2 linked regions of the Neodiprion lecontei genome follow. The protein of the gene in region 2 binds, or shares a complex with, the protein of the main gene of each other region. Links are inferred from orthologs where the notes say so. Each region holds a gene or a part of one and is shown on either strand. Other genes may lie near its edges.

The links.
Region 1: 60S ribosomal protein L6 (region 2) and 60S ribosomal protein L10 share a complex: the UniProt entries of both Caenorhabditis elegans proteins name them as parts of the large ribosomal subunit. The link is inferred for Neodiprion lecontei from reciprocal best matches to the Caenorhabditis elegans genes rpl-6 and rpl-10L.

The regions. Positions count from the first base shown.
Region 1 is NC_060264.1:6,100,553-6,112,397, reverse strand, and holds 60S ribosomal protein L10, read right to left. Parts: upstream 5,749-11,845; 5' UTR 5,621-5,748; intron 5,467-5,620; 5' UTR 5,461-5,466; coding exon 5,438-5,460; intron 4,918-5,437; coding exon 4,612-4,917; intron 4,516-4,611; coding exon 4,185-4,515; 3' UTR 4,126-4,184; downstream 1-4,125. Other genes in the region: probable E3 ubiquitin-protein ligase MGRN1, read left to right, coding at 487-574, 815-933, 1,008-1,273, 1,356-1,497, 1,607-1,810, 1,917-2,159, 2,292-2,452, 2,913-3,183 and 1 more; mediator of RNA polymerase II transcription subunit 9, read left to right, coding at 5,992-6,098, 6,474-6,579, 6,665-6,805; protein YIPF3-like, read left to right, coding at 7,221-7,913; GTP-binding protein 1, read right to left, coding at 10,025-10,213, 10,309-10,595, 11,225-11,543, 11,645-11,789.
Region 2 is NC_060262.1:33,927,503-33,939,745, reverse strand, and holds 60S ribosomal protein L6, read right to left. Parts: upstream 7,667-12,243; 5' UTR 7,652-7,666; coding exon 7,643-7,651; intron 7,408-7,642; coding exon 7,222-7,407; intron 6,487-7,221; coding exon 6,213-6,486; intron 5,881-6,212; coding exon 5,531-5,880; 3' UTR 5,453-5,530; downstream 1-5,452. Other genes in the region: lymphoid-specific helicase, read right to left, coding at 67-461, 726-1,378, 1,668-2,272, 2,824-3,233, 4,099-4,213; two pore calcium channel protein 1, read left to right, coding at 8,761-8,866, 10,818-11,032, 11,168-11,332, 12,146-12,243. UniProt on the Caenorhabditis elegans protein: Component of the large ribosomal subunit.

The sequences.
Region 1 (11,845 bases), on a different chromosome or scaffold from region 2:
AGTAGATCCGAAATGATTCAAAGCATTATCTCTATGTGTCCTCAGTCTTCCAATCTCCCAAAGCGTTGGACTACAGCGTGATAGAAATTACGGCAGAAAATCTCAATGTCAACAGATAACTATGGTGTTTTACATCTTAATTTCACGATACATGCTAACAAAACTTAACTGGATTTCCCCTGATATAATATAATGTTCATTGGAAATGTTTAGACACTAAGAAAATTGCAGAGATAACGCAGTGGGAAATGGAGAGACTATCGTTAACTGGACAATTCTCTATATCACCAGCGGTAGCGAGATACGTCACTTTTACTTCCTTGTCGTGTAATCTCGTGAGTTGTATCATCAATGGTCTTTACCACGCTTTGTCACCAGCTGATGAGGCCGTAGATACCTTGTTGAATGTTGTTTAGTTGTCAAAAGTGCGAACGAGTAGCGAACTTTCTTCATTTCATCTCGCATTTTCAACGAAAATAGTTGAAAATGGGCTCACTAACCAGCAGACAAAATGCTGGTGTCGAAGAAGTCGACATAGTTTCAAACCATGCCTACAAATATCCTCCGCGTTCGGGTAAAATGTTATTATTATTAAATTACGTTCCATACTTTTTAATGAAATTTTATTATGTACCTCTTCCTATTACTTTACTGTCAGAGGCAGCTTTGTCATGTAACTTCATATCTTCATAACAACAATTTTATTTATTTTTTCTTACACGATAAATACATTCTTTCCCAAAAGACAAATGACGTTAATTCTATTACACCGAATCATAAATGAACAAGATTACAAACTTTCATAAATTAACAGGCAGTTATTTTGGAAGCCACTTTATAATGGGTGGTGAGAGGTTCGATACACCTCAACCGGAAGCTTACCTTTTCGGAGAAAATGCTGATTTAAATTTCCTCGGAAGTAGGCCAACTCCGGTTAGTACTCGTGACTGTGAAAGGATTGAACCTGGACTCTTTTCGACAATATAGATTATTTTTTTTCTCCGTAGTTTCCATATCCTCCGCCTCAAGCCAACGATCCAACAAAGACTCTGAAAAGTCTCGTTAACATACGGAAGGAATCACTACGGCTAGTGCGTATCATAGACCAAACATCAACTTCGTCGCAACACCATAATAGTAAGCATTACGGAGATGGAGATACCGACTATAAACCTACCAGGTTTAACATAGAATTTACTTTCGACTGTGACGTTAGATGTGCCATAACGGTTTATTATTTTTGTACTGAGGATGTAACCGCTAATGGAGTTGTGTAAGTATAATAGAGTTTGAGAATAACCATACTGAGTATTATAACACTTCGAATTTGCATTTTATTGTTTTTATCTATTCAGGTATATACCTCGAGATCCTTCGATGAATTCTGAGACATATCATTATAAAAAGGGTACTAATCAACAGTTCAGCCAATCGTCTCATATTTTTGATCCAACTCTATACAACGAGGAAGATTTAGTATACAATCCAGACAGAGAGGTGTGATTATCTTAAAACTTGGCTTCACTTGACAAACAAAATAGTACTTCATAAAGTTGTCTATTTTATATCCTTACATCCTGACTATTACACAAGTATTACTTTCCAGGTCATTCCAATCGCAATTCACTGCGTTGCAGAGGAGGGAACGGAGGAGCCAAAACAGTCTCATACTACTATCGCTGTTATAGAAAAACATTCCGATGGATCGTACGTGTTAAAAGCATTGAAACAAAAGCTATACGTAGATGGGCTTTGTTATCTAATTCAAGAAATTTACGGCATTGAAAATAAGAACAGCGAAAATGCTAAGGTATCGCAGAAACAGTCAAGATGATATTTCAATTACACAAAACAGGAACCATAAAGTTGCATGTTGAAAAATTCACTTTTTTCAATTAATTTATTTCTCTTTGTAGCAACAAGGAAGCGATGAAGATACTGAAGATAGTGGATCTGAATGCGTTATATGCATGTGTGACGTACGTGATACATTGATTCTACCTTGTAGGCACTTGTGCCTGTGTAATGGGTGTGCGGACTCATTACGGTATCAGGCAAATAATTGTCCTATATGTCGAGCACCTTTCAGGGCTTTGTTGCAAATTAAAGCTTTGCAGAAAGCGACTGGGGCAATACTGTCCAATCCGCCACTGGCTGAGGTATTGATTATTAGTATTCATTCTGTTTTATAACTCAAGCTGTCATTAGTCTGTATGATGGAAGCCAGTTCTGACTAATTCACTTCTCTTCGTAAACCAGCAAATAAATTCGATTCTTAAACTACTTTCCAGGGTAGTTGTGAAAATATACCACCTGGCTATGAGGCAGTATCGCTCATAGAAGCTTTGAATGGCCCTTATACACCAAGAGCAACGGTCCTACCAATTGAGTCCCTGGATACTCCTGACACAGACACAGCCAGTGCTATTCAAGCTGCTGAAATTTTAAATCGGTATGTCAGTAAAATGATGAAGATTTTAATATACTATTTTCTAGCCATTATTGAAATTCAAATAACCGTCCTTTACTGCTTTCACCCTCACATGCCTCTAACAAAACTCCACGCATCTCTAAAATCATGAACATTCCATGTCTAACACATTTAACCCTTTAACTGCATCTTAAAATAATGTTCATTACAACAATAATGCACGTGTACAAAAAGAAAATATTTTCTTAAAACTAACCCTAATATTAGGTTACTTGATAAGAAAACGATAATCTAATGGTAATTTATCACTTTTTCTTGGTGACTGACGCGTAAAACTTATCAAACTTGTATGAGAACGAAGAATAGGATGGGGTTCCAAGCTCAAACTTGTATATCCATGAATCAAAGGTGTAATCTTAAAGGGTTAAATTGTATAGATTGTAGATCATAGTAGGATGGTAGAAACAAGAACTTTTTTTAGATCAGCTGAGCGTACGCCAGTTTCGAAACATGCATCTCCAAAAGATACGGAGAAGTCACCAAGAACTAGTGGTATGCCTTGTGCAACACCCGAGTTCCGAATGTCTGTTCTACTTGCAAGGGATGAAATTTCTGGTTCTCAAAAAGATCTTCGCAGTCGTTCTCCAGTTGCACGAGCCAAAGTAATTAGTCGTCCACGTGACAAAACGGCCCTTCGTACAAGAGACACATTAAGACTCGTTAATGAGAAGCAATCAACTGCTATCGATGAGGTAAAGTAGTTGTTTTGCTGCTAACAAACTGAGAGATTCATTTCTCAAATAATTTCGTCAACGTTTTCAGGGACAAGATGATGATAGTGAAGCAGAGAAACTATCTCCTTTATTGGACGCAGTTACAAGTACAGAAGCATTGGATACCAGTCTTCATCCGATGCATAACATAGAGCCTATAGATGATTTGGATATCGATGACGAATTGCAAGTAGAAAACGGAAGTGTGAAGAACGTGGATCGTACTAATGAGAAAAATTTACACTAAGTTTAAAACTTGTTACCACAAACTCGTTAAACAGTCGAACAATAATGATACCTACATCTTTCGTTGGCAAAAAAGTTTCAAAGTGCAATTTATCTGTCAGATGTATTCTTTTAACTTTCAAAGTTAAATGCAGGTAGCCTAGGGCAGCTTGAACAGTTGTGTTATAAAATTGGGCCATACATTCCCTTAATATTGTATTTTTCAAATTTTAATTAGGTAATTAGGTACTTTCTAATCATTTTACTAACAAAGTATTTTAGTGAACTATATTTCCAATTTTTGGATATTTTTTGTTAAATATATTCCTGTACATAATTTACAATTGACAACTTTATGGACGCGTAATCTCACTCAACTTTTATTTTCTATGACGTTACTGATTTGTAATGAGTTACGTAGGATATGGCGTTCTAATCATTTGTAAAATAAATTCTTAAAATCACAGCACCATCCTTTTCACATTATACCTATTTTATTATGAACTCCGAACAGATGATCATCTGCTACATCTGTAGAATACTCATACCTGTAACAATGGATCTATTATAAAAGCGAACTTTGTAATATTCACCATGGAAATGGTAAATTGGCAAAAAAAGATCTGGAATTGATACTGAACTTATAGCATGCATCTTCCTGCAACATAACGAGGTATAATAGTAAAAGACGCACAATTTTAATTAGTCGGAATAAAATTTATTGAGACCACATTTACAGAAGTGTTTGGCTCAGATTAGGCACTGGCCAGGCTTTCTCTGAACTTCTTCCACGCGTCTAGGGGTCCGTGCTCTGGAAGATATTTGACATTGCAACCATCTTGGGCAAGACGACCAGCTACCTTCAGATCTTCGTATTCGGCACGTTCGTACTTGGTAAATCCCCACTTCTTAGAAACGTAGATCTTTTGACGACCAGGGAACTTGAACTTGGCACGCCGTAGAGCCTCGATAACTACCGCCTTGTGACGGTCCGATGAGCGCACACTCATGATCGGCTGCCCGATTCGGACACGAGCAACAGTACCTTGAGGCTTACCAAAGGCTCCTCTCATCCCAGTTTGGAGCCTAGATAGTTGAACAAATTTGTAGCATTAATTTTCCATCTAAGTAGATAATATTCCGTTGTTGGATAAATGAGTTACTATTGTTCACGTAATTTACCTATCAGCTCCAGCGCATGACAACATTTTGTTGATGCGAATGACGTGGAAAGGGTGGAGTCGCATCCTAATGTGGAACTGATCTTTGCCAGCATTTTTGACCATGTATTTGTTGCAGCAAATACGACCTGCTTCTAGAGCTTCTGAGCTAAGCTGTTCATATTCGTCAGAAACCAAATGAACGCAGAGTGGAAAGTCTTCGACACATGCCTTCTTCTTTCCCAAGTCAAAGATACGAATCTTTGGGTCAGGGACACCCCGACAGAAACGAGACTTAGGATATGGTTTGTTCTTGCAGTAGCGATAACTGTAATTAAACAAAAATTCTCATCAGTATTTGATTTATAACATATTTACACAGCACTTAGATTCCCAAACCTTTATCTCAAAGCGTATTGCAACAATGACATCTGATTGTATAAATTATAAATTAAATGATACATATTGCGAAACAGGTTAGACACCAGTGTTAACGAGGTTACGTTACCATCATGTCGAACTTTCAGTTCCACAAAATTCTCTACAGTTGACTAATGGTCTGGAACTGCAATTCTAATTAGCAAAATTTTCGCGACAATTACAGAGAACTTCAAAATAAGTGAGTAAATGAAGCGGCAGTAATGGGTTAAATACAGAACAGTGCACTTCGAAGCTTGGCATACACCTGCGTTGACACAAAAAAGGGAATTTTGTTAGAGCCTCGGATTAATTCGTAGCTCGAGTCAATTAAAGCAATCGTTGGTCAGGAATAAAGGTACCACAATTATTTCTCTTTTCGATTATTTCTTTTTTTCCTAAATTAGAAAATGCGAGTCATGACGACTTACCACCTCGCTGGCCGGCGTCCCATTTTGGACTGAAAATATAAACACCACAATTATTTATCGAAAAAACTATCACTCTTAACAATTGGTAAATTAACCTAATTTCGTTCAGTAAGACTAATTAATTGCCGTTGTGTAGGATTCCTCGGATTATCAGAGATATAAAACAGCATTCGCGATACATACCTACTACCCTTGATAGCCCAAATGAAAGTGACGGAAATCAATTTTCTGGTCAAATGTCCAGGAGCTACTTCCGGCATTCGCGGTGCAACACCATAGACTATACTAACGATTACGTCCATTCTATGTCTAACTTTACAAGCTAGATGTTAAGCTCCTTGCCATCGCTCCATCTACAAAACTTGATTTTTCCGGCTTCTGTTTCTGACAGTACCGTAAAATTTTGTCAAACCTTCGTGGTGTGCTAAATGCTTTGAACGACCAGTTCGCGTGATAAAGAACGTGTGTAGATAAATTCATTTAAACTGTCTACGAAAGAAGAAAAAATTAGTGTCGAAAAAGCAGAAGATGCCGAAAAAAATTGCGGTGAAAATATGATGGAAGTTGTTGAGATAGCAGAGGAAGCGCCTGCTCGAAGTCAGTTCACAGTCGACGATCTAGACATAGAAATTCTACCGCTTGTTTACGAAATAATCCGAAGGTATGTGGGTTTAATTTATTTTCTTGTTAACACTAGCAATACCCTTTGAAATTGACATGCCAAAAATAGTACTCCATTTTTTCAAGTTATTATAGATAGAAAGTTGCGAAAGCACTCCCCATTGTCTGCCACGTTTGTCAAATTATTTATAGCTCATATGATTGCGTATCAAAATTATTAACACAAGGTACATGATTGCTCAATTTCTCAAATTGATATTCTAATTTTATTCACTTGCTCTGCGAACATTAGATCGTGACGTTGGAGTTTTACAGGATTACGTATGAACAAGAATTTACCTTATTAAATGTACAGCTAATTTGTCTCATCAAACTAGTTATGTAATGCAACAAAATTTTGATTTGTTCCACATAGCGTGGAAAAAGATCCTCATGACAACACCCAAAAAGCTAAGGACTCTCAGGATACGAGTCACAAAATACTAGATTTACAAAAAAAATTGGACTCTGCACGATCACAGGTGTGTATACTCGACGATAATCATGCTTAGCATGACTAAATATTCGTTCTCTGTAATTTAATAAACTGAAACCCATTGCTTTTAGATAAAAAAATTGCCTGGGATAGAATATAGCAAAGAGGAGCAATTACAGAAGCTAGAAACACTTCGCAGGCAGCTCAAGTTGAAGCGAGAACTACTACTCAAGTATCGTAATATGTGTACATTCGACGTACCCAAAGTATAAATAATTAGACTTTCATACTATAATTCATTATGGTTCTGCGTTTTCTTATGCGATACTTGGCCAACAACGAACAGCTCATCAACAAATTAGCAGATTCAAAACCTATAAGACGAGCTGCTCAGCTGGTTGTTTATTTTATGCAACGTTCTTCCCAGCACGGTATACCATCCAGTCCACAGGAGCTTGGCAAGCAATGGGCAAGTTTATTATCGCGTTTCTCATCTAATCTCAAAGAAGGAATTGCAGACGCTAAGAAGGATCAGGAAAAGAAACAATCTAAATAACATATATTCTAACGTAACCAAATTACTCTCCTGCGATTAGTTATCCATCTCAAAGACTTCGATGAATCAGTTTTTTTTTTTTCTGAATTGTGAATTAGATTTAATAGCTTAATATTTCCCATTGGTTTACCATGGCGTACAAAGGATCAGCCGTTATATTGGTGCCTACAGATTCCAAACAATATTGCGTTAAAGTTGATGGCCATGTTTCGTTTGTCAATCGTTATATGAAAGTTACACCCTACGATATTGGAAGACGGATTATAGCTTCCCTCGGACCTCCTTGTAACAAGAAATTTAGAATTGAAAATATAGATCTAGTAGGACCCCTCCTAGCAGTCTTAATTTTAATTGCAATTCTAAATTACGGATATAGGATTAAAGAGCCGTCGGCTACAGATTTAACTATGGCTCCTGTAACTTCAGTACTGCTATATATTGTTGTGAATCCCTGTCTAGGTTTTGTGCTATGTAAATTGGCACGCGCAAGTATGGTATTCTGGGATTTAGTTGGGTTGTTGGGCTATGCCTTGTATTCTCATCTCATAACATTAATTCTGAGCCTTATGATATATCAAGAAGAAAGTAACGCCTTCTTTTTCCTATGTTTACTTTCATTTGGAGGACTGAGTGCTCTTAGAGTATGTATCCTTCTTATAACTAGTATACCCAAACCTGCTGCTCGACTTTTAGTTTGTTCTACATTATTCATAAATCACTTGTTATTCTTAATTTTCTTGCACTTTACCTATATGCATCCAACGTTTATATACGGCAGAGGCAGCGACAAACGTGTACCCACAAAAATACATACAAATTTGTAAGTCAAATTTTTAGAGAAACCTACAAAATAATAAGCATACTTGTGAATTCTTCAATATCATTTGGCATCAATCGGCTTACCAAGTAAATTAACTTTTTATATTGCGTTGATAGTATCTACAGCCAATTGTGAGCAGACTTTGTAGTTTGTGGAAAATGTTTCAAATTTAATTGTTTTTAGACTAGATTACAACATTTATAATCCGTTTGGATTATCCAATGTAATTTTACTCATATAAAAGTGAATTTGCATCATATTTGTATATTTTTATCAAACTTTACTAAAGCCTCTTGCAGAAATTAACCAGCTGTGAAAAAAAATTCTTCTTTTAAATCCAGCAAGGATTATTCTGCCACAAAATATAGGAAATATAAGTCACCAGTGAACTACGATGTAAAAAGAGAAGTTATTTCCAATTTCAGATTGTATTATATGGCATTTATTTGATATTACAACAAGAAAAACACCAGAATTACGAGTATTAAGATCAGTCCAGTTTTACTGAACATGAAAATCAACTTCTTTGAAAATTATCTTGTTAGTTCGATAAAGTATCGAAATTATAAGTTGCATAATACAGTACGTACGTTTACAGTATTCTTAGAGTTTTATCCGTTGTAACAAATTGGGCAGATGAAACCTAATGTAGCACACGTGATTATTGTTAATACTTTATATGAATATTGAATACTTTCACAAAGAATCAACATTAGAAATCCAACCCATAGATCAATCTTATCTTCTAAAATTTCTACTATCTATATAGTAATATTAATATTAACATCATAATCAGTCAAAGAAAATCATCTGTCTAACAAGCATTCTCGACCACCTATTCAATCATTTGAAAAATAGTACAATGAATTACAAAGTATTAAACTCATAGCCCTTACATGTGTAATATACATATAGAAACACAGTTTCATCTTTAAATTATACAGTCAGGACAAGCGCAAAAGAAGTAACTTACAGTGAACAGAAAAAAGTAATTGAAGCCTGCATTGATACCAAAAACAGCTGTTTTCACCCCATATCTAATGATGCTATAGCAGTAAAGGAGATGTGAAATCAATACATATTATTCACGGATATACTTTCGACGTAATTCAGCCAATGTCTGGAAATGTCAAAAAATATATATACAGATTTTACTCTCACCTCAACTGTTTGCGTAACATGTCTGGAAAACACAAACATACTTTCCTGAAATTCGGCAATTAAAAATTATTCTTTAGGAGTAATGGAACTATGTAAGAAACTGCTCAGTACAACAAAACGAACTAATATATCGATTCAATGATCGAGTGGAACACTATAGATGGTTTACAGAGATGGGGTGTCTTTTTCCTGGATAGGTTCGGAGTATGTTATTCTTAGATTTTAAACTGAGAAACACGCAGTTGTAAGACTGTGTTTTCGTTTGATAAACAATTCGGATTGCAATTTTATATCTGTTGGAAAAATTTTGCATACAGATAGTCTATTCAAAAAAAGTAGATATGTAATGTATATCTTTAATATGACAAAACTGGAATATAATTACTAAAATTTTGCTACATGTGCCTCGAATATTTCAAACTTTTTTGTGTTCGGATTTTAAATACATATTTATATGTATATAAGTATGTGATATGAAATGTTAAATTGTAACAGTCCCGTTGACCTTGAAAGAAAGTTCTAACTAGTGCTGCTATGGGAAAGGAAAAGCAAGCTTTAAAAAACAGAGCGAAAATTAAGATACAGTTTATAAATTTTATTCACTTCTTTTTGTCCTATTTTAGAAGTCATATTGAGTCAATTCCTAACTGTTTTGTTATATTCTCGGTTAAATCAGAGTCAAATCAATTAACACAACGCTTTGTGAAAAAGAATGATGAAATCAGTCTGTGAATAAACGTTTCATCGATTAATATTGTATTGATATCAAACAAAAAAATATCGTGAATGTCTAGGCTGCTATCAAATTTTTACCAAAATTTATCAGAAGAAAATTTTCAAATTTCAAGCAGCACTGGTACTTATAAAAAAGAATAAAATTTTGTTATCATTGCTCTATTACATCACATGGTAATATTGCTAAGGAAATATTTATACTTTGTACACAAATTTTCTTTAAACTTTGGCTGGAGGGTTTTGTTCAGATAAAGGTTGTACATTTCCGCTTGTCGCGTTGTGGGGTCGTCCTCGTCCCCCTCTTCGGCCTCGTCCCTTTTTGCCGCCAGAGCCCGATCTTTGTGGCATATTTTCGCGCTTATCAGCAGACACTTCGAAGGGTGAATTTTGGTCTGCTACATCTGGCATCTAAAAGTTCATTGTCGAGAATGGAAATAAAACCAGTTAAATTGTGGTAAGATCTATTCGAGTAAATTTTCTGAGAAATAGCTTTATCAGCTTACTTGTGTAAGAGGCATCATTGCAGAGCCATTCTGACGACTCTGCTGTACTTTGTTAGGCTTATTGCCCCTCATTGTTTGCGAACCAGTAGGTCCAGAGTGGGGTATGAGTCGTAAAACATTGCCAACGGCTTTTGTTCGCCCTTCCCTGAAGACCATACGTTGCCCTGGTTTTATATACTCAGGATGTTTAATAAATTTAAAGTGCACCAGAGCTTTATCTCCTGTTCTGAGACAGTCTTGCGACATTGTTAGAATGGAAGCTGTTTGTCTTATGCTGCCGCAATGCACTGCAACAAAAAAAAATAAAGATTCTTACAATGATTTATTACTACCTATCTCCTGAAGTGTTTACAGTGAAACTTCTCGATAGCGGACACTGGGACCGGAAATACTATCCGCTATTAAAAAGTGTATGTTATTCAGAAAATGGTTCATTTTTTATTACACAAATATGTATAAACCTGTATAAACATGTAATATTTCAACGGACCAAGGTACATAAATGAATAGATGAATGTAAGTATTCAGAATACATACGCTGTAACAATCGAAAAAAACATTTTTTTTATAATAAAACATATAGTTTGTTAACTTATGAAAGAACGATTTCGTTAAAGGTAAACATGTAGCAAGCTTCAGCGTGCGCGACGGCACATCAACAACCAAGAGTTCGGAAAACAATGAACAAACTGAAAATAAAGTGTCCGCCACTCAGAAGTCTTTTCATGGAAAAATGCATTCCCAGTAGTGTCTGCATCCGTTATTAGAAGGTATATTTTCCAATAAAAGGATGCATTTCTGTGAGGGATTTCTAACTTGTCTGTTATAAAGAGGTGTCCGTTAAGACAAGTTTCACTGTATACGAACTAAGGTCTTGTGGTAATGTCAAGAGTAGATTATTTACGATACAACATACCCATAGCCTGATATCTTGAGCTGATAGTAGTAGGGTGATGTAGTACCAAAATTTCACCCTCGAATTCCCAACAAGCTTGGGGATTCAATAGAGGTGAAACCATTACCATTCCCTTACGAATTTGGGATCTTTTGATTTTTTTCAAGGCAAAACTTGCTGTTTGACCTCCACGTACTTCACGGACCGGCATTCTCTTTCTATGAATACTTTTTACAGCGATTGGTATGAAGTATCCCAATGGATCTGGTCCCAACAACAGAGTATCATTTAGCTTAATTACGCCTTTGAGAGTCGTTCCTGAAACGACTGTTCCAACACCCTGAAAACAACAAAGTTATCAATGTTTGTACAGTTGGAATTTGACTCGTTATATTTGAGTGTTTTATTATGTTGAGTATATTTGAAGTCCGTTATACTCACGGGAACAGAATATGTGTCATCTATTTGAAACTCCGCTGGCTCGTCGTCATGACTGGTCATTCGAGCAGTTAACAAATTGAGAAACATTTTGAGAAGGTGAAGATTCTCACCGTTTACATTTGACACTTGAAAAATGGGGCACAGCCTGTTTGGATAATAAAACAAAACAACATTTGCGTTCCTGGCAGATTTTAAAAATTT
Region 2 (12,243 bases):
TTATTGACTGTTTGTTTAAATACATGTTATTACTGAATATATGTCTATTGTAAGTAAATATCTTACCCAATCGGAATCATACATGATAACTGTATCAGCAGCAGCCAAATTTAATCCCACTCCTCCAGCTCTAGTGGATATAAGGAATAGGAATACGTCTGGATCAGAGTTGAATAATTTAATATTTTCCTTTCGATCCTCTATTTTGAAACTTCCGTCCAACCGTACGTATCTGTAATCTCTCAGTTCCAGATAATCTTCCAACATGTCCAAAATCATGGTCATTGTGGAAAACAATAAAACTTTATGCCCTTGAGATTTAAGCTTCGCCAGCATTGCATCCAGAACCAACAGCTTTCCAGAGTTTTTAATTATTTCATCATCAATTCGTGGCAAACCAACGCTATTTAATGGACAGTGAACCAAGTATGGATGGTTCACTATTTTTTTGTATACTACAGCTAAAAAATAATAGTACAGAATTTTAGAGGTTTTTCGGAATTTAATGATTCGACTTTACTCCAAAATTAATACAGAACATGCTACCTACAAGTCGGCCAAATTAAAAATGTACATCTAAAATTTTAGGAATAAATAACTTTCGTTAATGCATGAACACAAATTTTTCAAGGTTACATTTGAAATTAATTTTGTTATTTTTCTACTACTACAAATTTTAACGATAAAGATCTTTCGAAAAGTGTTTTTGGTTAATTCTATCTTACCTCTATTTTGCCATTGAATCCGGATTAAAAATTCTTGGTTCCTTTCATTGACATCTGCGTATTTTTTCCACATTGAAAGTGCATTGCTCTGTATTTCTACATCTTTCTTCCAGCCATCATCACCTCCATCACTGGACGGAGTTGAGGCACGTGACGAAGACAAGTCACTCATGGAATCATCTTTGTAATCAGAAGTACCTGATTTGAGCCTACAACGCCGTTGTTGTCTTTTTCCATTTAGATCAGGGATTATAAGATTTTCAGGTTCCAGTTTGGCCATAGTTTGAATATCGCGGCTCAATACTGCTTTGTATAAACTATGTTGCAGTTCAGTAAGCGGTGCATAGACAATGACTTCTTTTTTTAGGGGGATATCCAAACAAACATCAGATTTCACGCGGCGAAGCATAAACGGTTTCAATATCTCCCTTAAACTCATCAAAACCTGCTTGTCAGCTTCTTGCTGGAGGATCCTTTTGGTACCTTCAGCATCTTGTAGTTCTTTAGCATCGAACCAGGATTCAAATACTGCTAGGTCATTGAAAATTTCTGGCAACAAGAAATTCAACAAAGACCATAACTCTGACAAGTTATTTTGAAGTGGTGTACCAGTTAGCAGAAGTCGATTCATGGATTTGCATTTCTTCAGGACCCTGAGTAAAACAAACCAGATAAATGACAAGAAGAGAAATCTTGGATTTCAAAAAAAAATTTGATATAATTTCAAATTTTGAGTAAACTTGAAATGTTTTTTTGGTCGACCCCACTTTTCATGAAGAAAATTAGTATTAAAAGCCATGTGCATATCGCGCAACATCTCTCTTGGTTTCCTTTGCAGTTTATTTATTTATGGATTTACAAGTAGTATGCTATAATAGGCCAATGACAATTATAGCAACACTCTATTTGAAAAGACATTATATGCAAGTTAGAACCACTTACTGTAGTAGTTGGCATTTGTAGTTTTTAACTCTGTGACCTTCGTCAATGATGATGTACCTCCATTGCTGACGTTTTAATAAATTTTCCTCTTGCATAGGTACTTCGAAGGTAGTCAAAACCACTGGTTGTGTTTTGTATCCATCAATATCAAAGTTTTTCTGTTGGATCGACCGGTAATGTTTTGTCCTCTCTTCTGGAGGTCCGTGTAACAAAACAACAGGGATTTTTGGAGCAAAGTTTTCAAACTCCATTAACCAATTTGGAATAGTAGAAAGTGGTGCAATTATCAAGTAAGGTCCTGGTATTTTCTTTTCTATCAAGTGGCAAATCAACGCAATAACTTGAATAGTCTTTCCAAGACCCATCTCATCTGCCAATATACCATTTACACCATTCTCGTACAGCACACAAAGCCATTTTAAACCTTCGATCTGATAGTCACGCAATGTGCCGACAAAATATTTCAACTGTACAGACTCAACATGTTGGTCCTTGTCTGGATAATCTGTTTTTGCTATGTTTCCGTCTGTTTCCATCATTAGTTCATTTGCTATTTCTTTTTGACTGAGATTCATTTTTTGTCTTTCTTCTTCTTTATTCTTGACCTGTAGGTATATCAAATTAGCAAATCTTGGAGAAAAAAAATATGCTAGTATAATACGTGGCATGAAAATTGCTCTACCATTTTTGGAGAAGTAAACAAAGACAAACAATTATAATACATATTCAAGCGAGAAACCAACAGGTCTTTAATAATAATTGACTATTACGTGATTATTACAGTTAAAGTTCCATCTTTATCATATTTACAACCTTGATTGATTGAAAAATTATAACAAAACTTTCAGACAAATTACACAATTTTATTAATTTCATTGGAAAACCTAATTTTACATCACATGTATCACCTTGAGAGCATTTTTGTATTTTATGGTAATGTATATCGATAAATTCCACTTATGTACTAGCATCTAAAAGTTACTAGTGATGAAATGCACAGAGTTGACTCTTGATATTTTGAAAAAAATTTATTGGTTGGGGTTATAGGATACAGTACACACTGCGCAAACAATCCATACAAATAAAAAGCGATGGTGAATACGCACATGTACAGCACAAGAGGAGCTATAAGAATAGTGCATCTGGGAACACTCACATCTTTCGCAGTCACATATTCCCTTATGTCATAATCTTGATTTAGTTTCTGAGCCTTCTTAGTAATTTTTTTTGGTGGTGAGTTCTCATCGCTTACTTTGGGCTTACGTTTATTTCCTGGTTTCTTTGATTCCTGTTTTAAAGACTGATCAATCTTTTGAACCAGATACTTCGAATAAAACTGGCTACGATCGAGCAAATGCATCAAACGTTTGTAGCGAAATTCCACAACTTCTTTTTCATACTGCTCGGCAGCTAAGCGTTTATTTTCTGTCTCAATCTCTAGGGTTCTTTTACGCTTTCCCTTCGTAGATCCTTTATAGTCAATCTTAAATGGTCCATTATTAATTTTGACATCATCAGCAATTTTGCTTATTGCCAATGTTTCGTCCTTTGTAACACTTGTGGCTTCTAAAGATATTCAAAATAATGAAAATATTGAGGGATTAATGAGAGTAAAAGCTTGTGGAAAAATATATTTCAAAGTGAATTTTTGAACAATGGAAATGAGTGGAGAATTTTAACATCTACCAATGTGTGCAGAAGCAAATTTAAGTTTTATTTCTAAGGCGAAAACAAGAGTAGATTATTTTTGGCCAAAAATTATATTAATCGGTACACTACAAAGTCTTTGAATGTACGAGACATTGAGATGGAAGATAAAACTAGAAAATTTAAAAATTAATAAAGGGTCAGGCGAGAGAATTTTTGTTAAACATTATTTGGATGCAAGTAATAATTTTCTGCTTTCAGATTTATCCTCATTATTCATTTAAGAGGTAACAGTGATAGTTAAAGACTAGTAATAAACTAGCAATATAGGAGAAAGTAAATATAAGCAGTTACACATTTCGCATGTGTAAACAGACAAATAGAAGTCAAAGAGGATTACTCTATCCACCAGCTTAGAGAGTAAACTTAACTGACAAATAGAGCCCGTATCTACCAGAAATATCGTAGCAATGGGTATTCCCATAAAAAAAAATTTGCGATTTCATATAAACACCTGCCTTTAACGAGTTCGCCAAAAATTCGTGTGATATGGAAGAAAAACTGCAAGCCATTTAAAAATGGTTTATACATGACTAGAGATTTAAATTTAATAACCCTGAAAATTCACACGGCTCACATCTAAAAGTATGCAAAACTACCGCAATTTTGTCTGTCCCTTCTGTTTATCACTGACGACACTCAACTGTTGTTCGCCGTTCATTAATTCTATACCCATGCCATGTCGTGCTTTAATTGCCATAAGGTAGAAAAACGTGTACAATACCTGCGGAAGCTACGGATCCTGAAATGCTAGCAAATCCAGAATCGTCAGCAGCTCCGACATATTCAAGATTTTCAGCAATGTCTTGCAGCTTTGTACTATGTAACTTGGCACTCATATTGACTTCACATCAAACAACAAACGAGAAATAATTTACCTGACAAAATATACGATAAATTGCAAACACACTCCACGAGGTCTACATAACAAGTGAGGCCAAGTCCACTGCCTGAACCGCCTGAACTCTTGCCGGCACTCGCGATGATGTTATGCGGCCGGACACGATTCCCGCCAAATGTTGCGTCGTACGCTAAGCACAAAGAACCCAGTGATGTCACTTTGAAGTAATTTCGGTAACGTACTAGCCAATCAGAACACTGCATCCACCAGGTCCGAACACTGAACTATTCGAACAGCGGAATGCGCGTTCTGTCTACCGAGTGAAGTAGTTGATACGGGGGTGAACTATCTCTGTCGGTATCACTTATGGTATGCCTATAGGATAGAGTTCAGGAGGTAGATTCATCACTCGAGGACATTCGTGGTAAGAATGTGGTTGTCGGATGTTTCCGTCATTTCAAAAGATGGTGTAATTTTACACATAAATACCTGTTTTGGCTATCCCACCCAAGGACATCAACTATTTCGTTCAATCTTTTTTTTAGCACCATTAGCTTGATGATAGGGTAGAGATTAACCCGGAAGTTTGTTCACGTAAAATAATTCACAAAAAAAAGAAACAGCCTTCTAACTGCAATCAGAAATCAACAGTGATTGATTTGAAGATACAGGGCGCTAGGGGGCTCGGCAATTTAGAATTCGTTACAGGTTTCAAGTATACGATTAGTTTCCTTTTTTTCCAAAAGTTTCGGGACATTTCTATGAAATACCCGAAGACTTACAGATAGTCTAATCTACTAGACGCTCTGAAAATGTCGAAATCATCTTAACTAACAAGGTTTCTTTACATGTAAATTGGGACTTGGCTATCCTAATGTTGCATCAACACATTGCTGTCAACTGTTGAAAACACTCTATAAATAAATCGTTTCCAACATTTGATTAAATTGACTTGGTGATAATACTGTTAATTGTAATAAGTTTTTCATGTTCTCTAATAAGATGTGGAAATATTTTTTTATTTTTCACGAATGTAAACTAATACATATTCGGATAATTGTATTAAAACATGATCCAATTTAATTTTACTGTATTTAACACAAACCTTGTGTTCCAACTTGGGGAATTCCACGATTCTTCCGACCATTTTACGATCGCTGGTCACACTGATCCACAAACTGCGGATTTCAGGAATATCAAATAAAGAAACTATCTGCAAATAAATGCTCCAAGCCTATGACAAGTTTTTAATTTTTTATTATTCCACATGTACAACACTGCGGTGACATACACATAAATGATGTATCAAATGGATTTAAAATTTCATTCTGTGGGGATATTGGCTGCTTCGAAGACCGAACATCGCTGACAAATAAGTGAAGAGCAATTTTTTGTCCTGGTGTTTCTTGATGGCTCCAATAATTAGTGTATCCACAGTTTTCTGGTCGATCTTTCTCTGTTCAGAAGGTTTGTAGTCTACTTTCTTTGTGCTGAAGATATCTCCCTCTTCTTTCTTGGCACGCTTGTTCTGGGTCCTTTTGTAATATTCGTCCTTTCCTACTTCTTTGGGTAGTTTCACACCAGAAAGGTCGATCTTTGTCGATGTAGCTATCACGTAATTCTGGCTAACACGACGTAAAGGACAAGCGTTGATTAGGAATGGACCTGTAAAATGTTAATCGTGTGACAATTTATTCACAAAATGATAATGGCAATAAAATACTAACAGAAAAGATAAAACTAACTCTGTTTACTTCAAAGTAGTTCTAAATATATGAACTAAGACAACTTTACTGCACACTTTTTTGAACACTATAAATGTCTGAAACTGCGTCATCTGTCGTTTCAATCGTATGTGTTAAAATACACACAAAACACTAAGGCCTTATTTTTCTGAAAAAATAGAGGAACTATTTTCTACTGCAATACATAATGTTTATTCGAATGAATTCAATTCTTCTGCACTTGTGAGGAGCACATATGGAACGCCCACTTACCAGTTACTAACAAAAGACCACTACGAAGCTGCTTCAAGAAAACAACTCGCTTTCCCTTGTGGGGCCCAGCCAACAAAATCAGGATTGTACCAGGAGTGATGGTGGGTCTGAGTCTGCGAACATGTTCACGGAAAGTTTTCTTTGCATGGTGAACAGTGACTGGATCAGCAGTAGGGTAGTTCTTCCTCCTCTTCTTAAGCAGAACTAATCTGGTACCTCCATTTTTATCACCACCAATCTTCTTTTCAATGGTCACAGGCTTCTTGGGCTTTACCTACAATGCAGGTGATTAGTTTACATTGGTGGTTTAGCAAAATTTCATTACAAAATCAAATTATAAATTGGGCCGATTAATTGCCTTAAATCAAAGAACATCCGATAAACCATTATTTTGATTGAAAAATTGTTACAATATCGGATTACAACAGTGTGAGAGAAAAATGATGTTTAAGCAATGCTAAAAATATACAAAGTTTCTAGAGAACTTTCTCACAGTTAAGCTGGGTTACTAAAACCAATGTTAATAAAGATTTAGAAAATTATGCGTTAATGCTTGTACGACTCTTGGCAATTAAATGTTGCGACTTCACACCCACTTTGTTTAGATAAACAACAAATCGGTTGGTAATTTCATCGCTTTAATTTCCCTTTCATTAAATTATGGAGCTATAATGTGCAAGAACCACCTTGGATTAGAAGGGATTATTACCTATAATATTGGTCAGATCAAATTATTTTTTTATGAGTTTTTAACTGATACCAGCATCAACTTTCATAATATTCAGTATCAATATGAAGAATTATTTGGAAAAATTACAAGACTCAAGTTTTTAAAATTTCTTTGAGTGATAGAATTTGCTATTGTTTAATTTTCAAAAAATATTAAAAAAAATTTTTAGCAAATTGATAATCTGACGCAAGTTTTACCTGGAATACTACAATATGGAAAAAACCTAAGTGATGGCTTTTTCTACATTGTACATTTACTAAATTTCAAACATTAACTTACAGTTTTCTCGGTCTTCTTGCCAATGAACTTGTAAAGAGCTTTTTTGTGATACATTCGAGTTCGGCTGAACCTGTAGACTCCATTTCCTAAATCACGATTTCTTGGTTTGCCACGGACCTTGCGTCCATCCTTTTTGGCCTCAGTAGCCGCAGGTTTGGCCGGAGCCTTCGCTTTAGTATCCACCATCTGTAATAAAATTATGACTCAATCAGAACTGAAACACTTTAAAAACCCAAAAGTAAAATAGTCGTAAAAGTGCAGTAGGATATGAAAAGTTTCCTGTATGGTCTAATGGATCTTGATTCAGTAATGAAAACACATCACAGAACTGTTCAGTTGAATTGTAATGACACGTTAGGCGATGCACACTGTAATCTAGGGGAGAGGTTATGTTTAGTTAAAATTAAGACAAATGCATTAACTCATTCATCTCAGAGATTGGAGATCACAGTTTTTATATAGACTCTTGGATACAAGATATCACGTACGAAATTGATGATATGTATATAAAAATATCGAAACAAAGAATAAACAGCATTTAACGTGAGGAGCTAGACGTATCGACGTCCGTGTCGACATGCCATATAAACATTTTAACTGTTGATGCAAAAAATGTGACGAGTTATAGAAATATTAGGCGCAAATTGAAGTAGGCGAATTAAACTGATGTTATTTGATATAACTCCCAAACCAGTACGACCAAGAACGTTAGATTATTTGGATTCTCTGAAGAAAATTACGGCGGCTGATACTTACGTCGAAGCCAGCGGATGGTTGAAAGAGCCTCCATCTGCCGAACGAGGCTGGAAATAACCACTTAGGGCACACGTTTCCGGTCTAAGCGCAACGCGCGTTTTCTGCCGATTTTAAAAATTATTACACATATTCCATGCCAAACCCAACATATAGCTGCATACTTGGCATCAATGAAGCCTTTTACTGTCTTAACATTGCTACTTATAGTGGCTAGATATTTGCAACAAACGTTTGTACATTTTCGTGTTGCAATAGAATTAATAAATGTTCCAAAACGTAACTTTCAGCGTTAACTGACTGTCAGTTCTGATTCAAGCAATGTGAGTTACTTTCCTACGCCTTAGCGTGGTTTTCAATTTGGTAAAAACACTGTTAAATTAAAAATCTTCATTGCGGTGCTATTCAATTGCTGAACCAGTATGGACCAACATTTTCAGCTTGGACTTTACTCTGATCGGAGCCATGATCGGAGATAACGCAGAAGGCGAACCAATCCCGAAGCCTTTTTAAGCGGAATGCCCGAAGTCCGCTGATGTGAAGTCAGCCCCGGCTACGGGGGGATATCACGATAACGGCCGAATCTCCGTTGTCTGGCTTCGGGTTAAAAAATTCTCGGATTAGTCATCTGCAACATATCCGCGAGAAAACCACTCGTCGTCAGTCGCGTCGCAACTCTGAAACAGCGTAGGCAGGAGTCAGGTTTGCGGTGACTCGCGAGCGCGCAGCCACTCGAGAGAATCTCGTTACCCGTGCGGCTGTCAGGAGTCGAGGCTGCCAACGAAGATGCCCTCGTCCCCGAGAAGTCCTGGATCTGCGGACGGATACCAGCGTTTCGACGATGAGCCAAACGTCACTTTACGTTTAGAGGGTTCCTACGGAGCGAGTCCAAGTAAGCAGTTGCTTTAATTCCTCCGTTACGCGGGACGTGAAAACGAAAAGAAACTTTTACATTGGATTAAATTGGCAATTTGCTCCAAAAGATATTTATTATACATACTCGAACATGATGCAGTAGTGAATGATTTAGTTTCTTCAATTACTCTTTTCTAAATCTCCACCTCGAACCGGATCTAAACTTGTGATCTCGGTTTTCATCTCATTCCAAAGATATGACTTAATTATGTGAAAAGTACAAAATTTTTTTCACATCTATTAGCTGTTCAATAAGTACTCTAATCATATTTGAAAAGTTTGATAAGATAGCTCTTTTTGCAGATAGATTTGGATGATGACTTTCTTTTATTAGTTTTTTTATTACGTCTGTGTGTCTATTCAATTGCCAGGAAATGTTAAACTCTACTCTTATACAGTTAAAGTTGTCAATTGGACACGTATAATGAAATGCTAATTATTGTCTTAAAATTCTGTCCTCAACCGAAATTATTATAGTTGATAATTACTTTCAATGATAATACAGCATCTGTATTTATTTTGCAGTGCGACTTTGTGTGGTATAGTCTGGTTTTATTTTTCCACAAATCTGATATCAACCTATACATATAATAATTCAAATAACCAAATACTTGGTAGATTAAAGCTCACTAATATATTAATGCAAGTCACCACACATTGCTTAGACTTCTGATCAAGGTTTTTTATGGTATTATTCACAATATTTTGCAATATCCTTCCACATAATAATTACCTACAATTTAATACATAAAATACAATGAGCTTGTGGTAATATTTTAACTTTATTATTGCAAAATACGAGTTCTGTTGAGGTATGAAAAAAATGTGAGCATGTAGACAGGAACCGATATACACTGACTCCTGGCCGTTTAAAAACAGATGATCTGATGCGTAATTTAGACAATTCAGCAAAGTTTTATGTCAAATAACGGTTCAAAATATTCCAATTAACGAACCATCAGAATCAAAAATCATATCGCAAATAAATAGTTAGTTTACATTTTGGATTATGTGTATTATCTAACAGAACTAAATTACACACTGCATGGTAATTTTTAATTTCATTAGTAGTAGCTAAAAATAGTTTTGTGTTCTACCTCAGGCTTGGATGTATTTCCAGTAGTTAATACTCTGCAATTTTTTTTGTAAATATGGAAGTTGCGCCCACTTACTTGAAGCAAACGTGTCAATAGAGTGACTATTTTTCAATATCTCTATTCCTGTACAAAAGTACACGAGTGTTAAATTTTATCTCTATATAATCTGTTTCTATGCTCAAATATTTGATAAGAAAATGTTTGCCGCACAACTTATTTCAAACTGATAGAAACATTCGAACTAAGGCTTGTCTGTCTCTAATTCCAAACTATACACGTACAGTATGACATCATATACCAGCATCCGATTCATGTTCTCATGAATATGTAGACGATATTAATGTTTATAGAAAGTCGTGTACAAACTTGTAATTTATGAAATGTAAGTATCCTAACAGTGACTAAAAACAAAAAAAAAATACCATGCCAGATTATATTCCTTGTGACTAATTTGCCATTAATACAAAATGTGAACTATGTAAATACAGTAATTTAAAATTCCGTCAGTAAGAGTTGTTTTAGTTGTTACAAATAATTTTGACCGTGATCTTATCATAGACCCACACAATATCAATTTAGAGTTTCCATTCTTAGCATTGTGTGTAGGATGTAATAAATGCAGGCTGATGTTAACATGTAGTAAAATGTTGTTCTTTTATTTTCTTTCCTTTTTTTCTCTTTATTTCAACTACCACCTCCATCAATCTGGTATCGGTCATCGCCCTGAACATCGTGGAAATCATCTGCCAGTGCACTTAACCATGGAGGAAGGCTTTTGCTGCTAACGCATGCTTGTCTCATTCCTGCTGCGTGCTTTCAATTTTTTTCTAGAATATGGGTCTATGTTGTCTTGCGCTTCTTCAGACGGCAGAATCAGGATGACCCCAAGGGAGAATACGGATACTCCGAATGAAATCGGTCACAGAATTGGTGCAACGGATGGTGAAACTTTGTCAGAAAATGCGGCTTTGGCGAGGTACGCGATTGGTATAGATGCGGACGTACACTGGGAAATGAATTATCATGAAGCAGCCATATTTCTTGAGGTAACTTGTGACGAAGAACGTACTCTCATTCAAAAGCCATGATTCCATATCAGTATTATAAATATTCACGTTGAGAGAAATTGTAACTCACACCTGGAGAGTTTGGTGGCTTCAGAAAATTTTATTTGTCCACAGGAAGGTCGAAATAATGAGAAGTTTGACTCTCATCCCAGACATCCAGAGGATTTACCAGCCTACCTTTTGGTGCATAACAGCTGGTATTATGGCCTTGACCTATTGACTTCCCTCATACTTTTAGCCTTGGCATTTGTTGAGGAGCCAGCAGTGCCTCTTTTCAAGGTCAGAAAATCGTTTCAAGTTGTTTATTGTCATAATTATTACTCTGTTTTATTATTGAAATTAAATTTGTAGAAATTTTTACACTGCATTTCAACGATTTTAAAGCTAGCAGCCGAAGTTAGCGGCCAAACCTGTTAAACTTTTTGGAAGTATAAAAATGTCGTTCAGTTTTATCCTCATAATTCTATAAAAGTAATGTGAATTCAAGGTATTTTACAGAATTTTTATCATCGGACTTCACCACCTTATTCAAATGAACATAAGAACGTTTGGCTGCTAAACTTGGCCGCTAGTTTTAGCCTCGTTGCATCTCAGGTAACTTGACAACTGGATGTCTGTTCACTACCAAGAATTATTTTTATATCTTGCATTCATTGGAAAATATTTGTGTAATTATGGCCATACTTTATACCGGACTTAAATTCATGACTATAATTCGAAAAACTTGGAATAATTTTGTAATAAGTAAGCAGACCCTGAAAATATATGGTTAACCATGGATTGTTGCTGTTTCATGTGTGTACAGAGTTGCACACACACACATTTAATTCATGCATATTAAATATTAGCTATTATTACTCACAAGGTACAGTCAGTAGTTTCATTCCGTTTCTTTTTTGTTTTCACTTTCCAAGTAACAATATTGAAATTGGAATTTTTTTCCTCCACCATATTATGATACCTTGTAAACCTTAGATCGTGAGTCATTCAAATTTGATCTCTACCTTTTATTGGTCTTACCTGAAGCTGCAGATTGGAGGTGCTTTTATTCTATGCATATGCATAATGATGATTTACCCCTTTTCCGGATAGCTACCCGTCTGGGCGCATGGATCTATCGAGCTTCTGGCTCTAATCATAATAGGAATAGAATTAGCATTGAAACTGAGATGGATCGGATGGGGAACAAT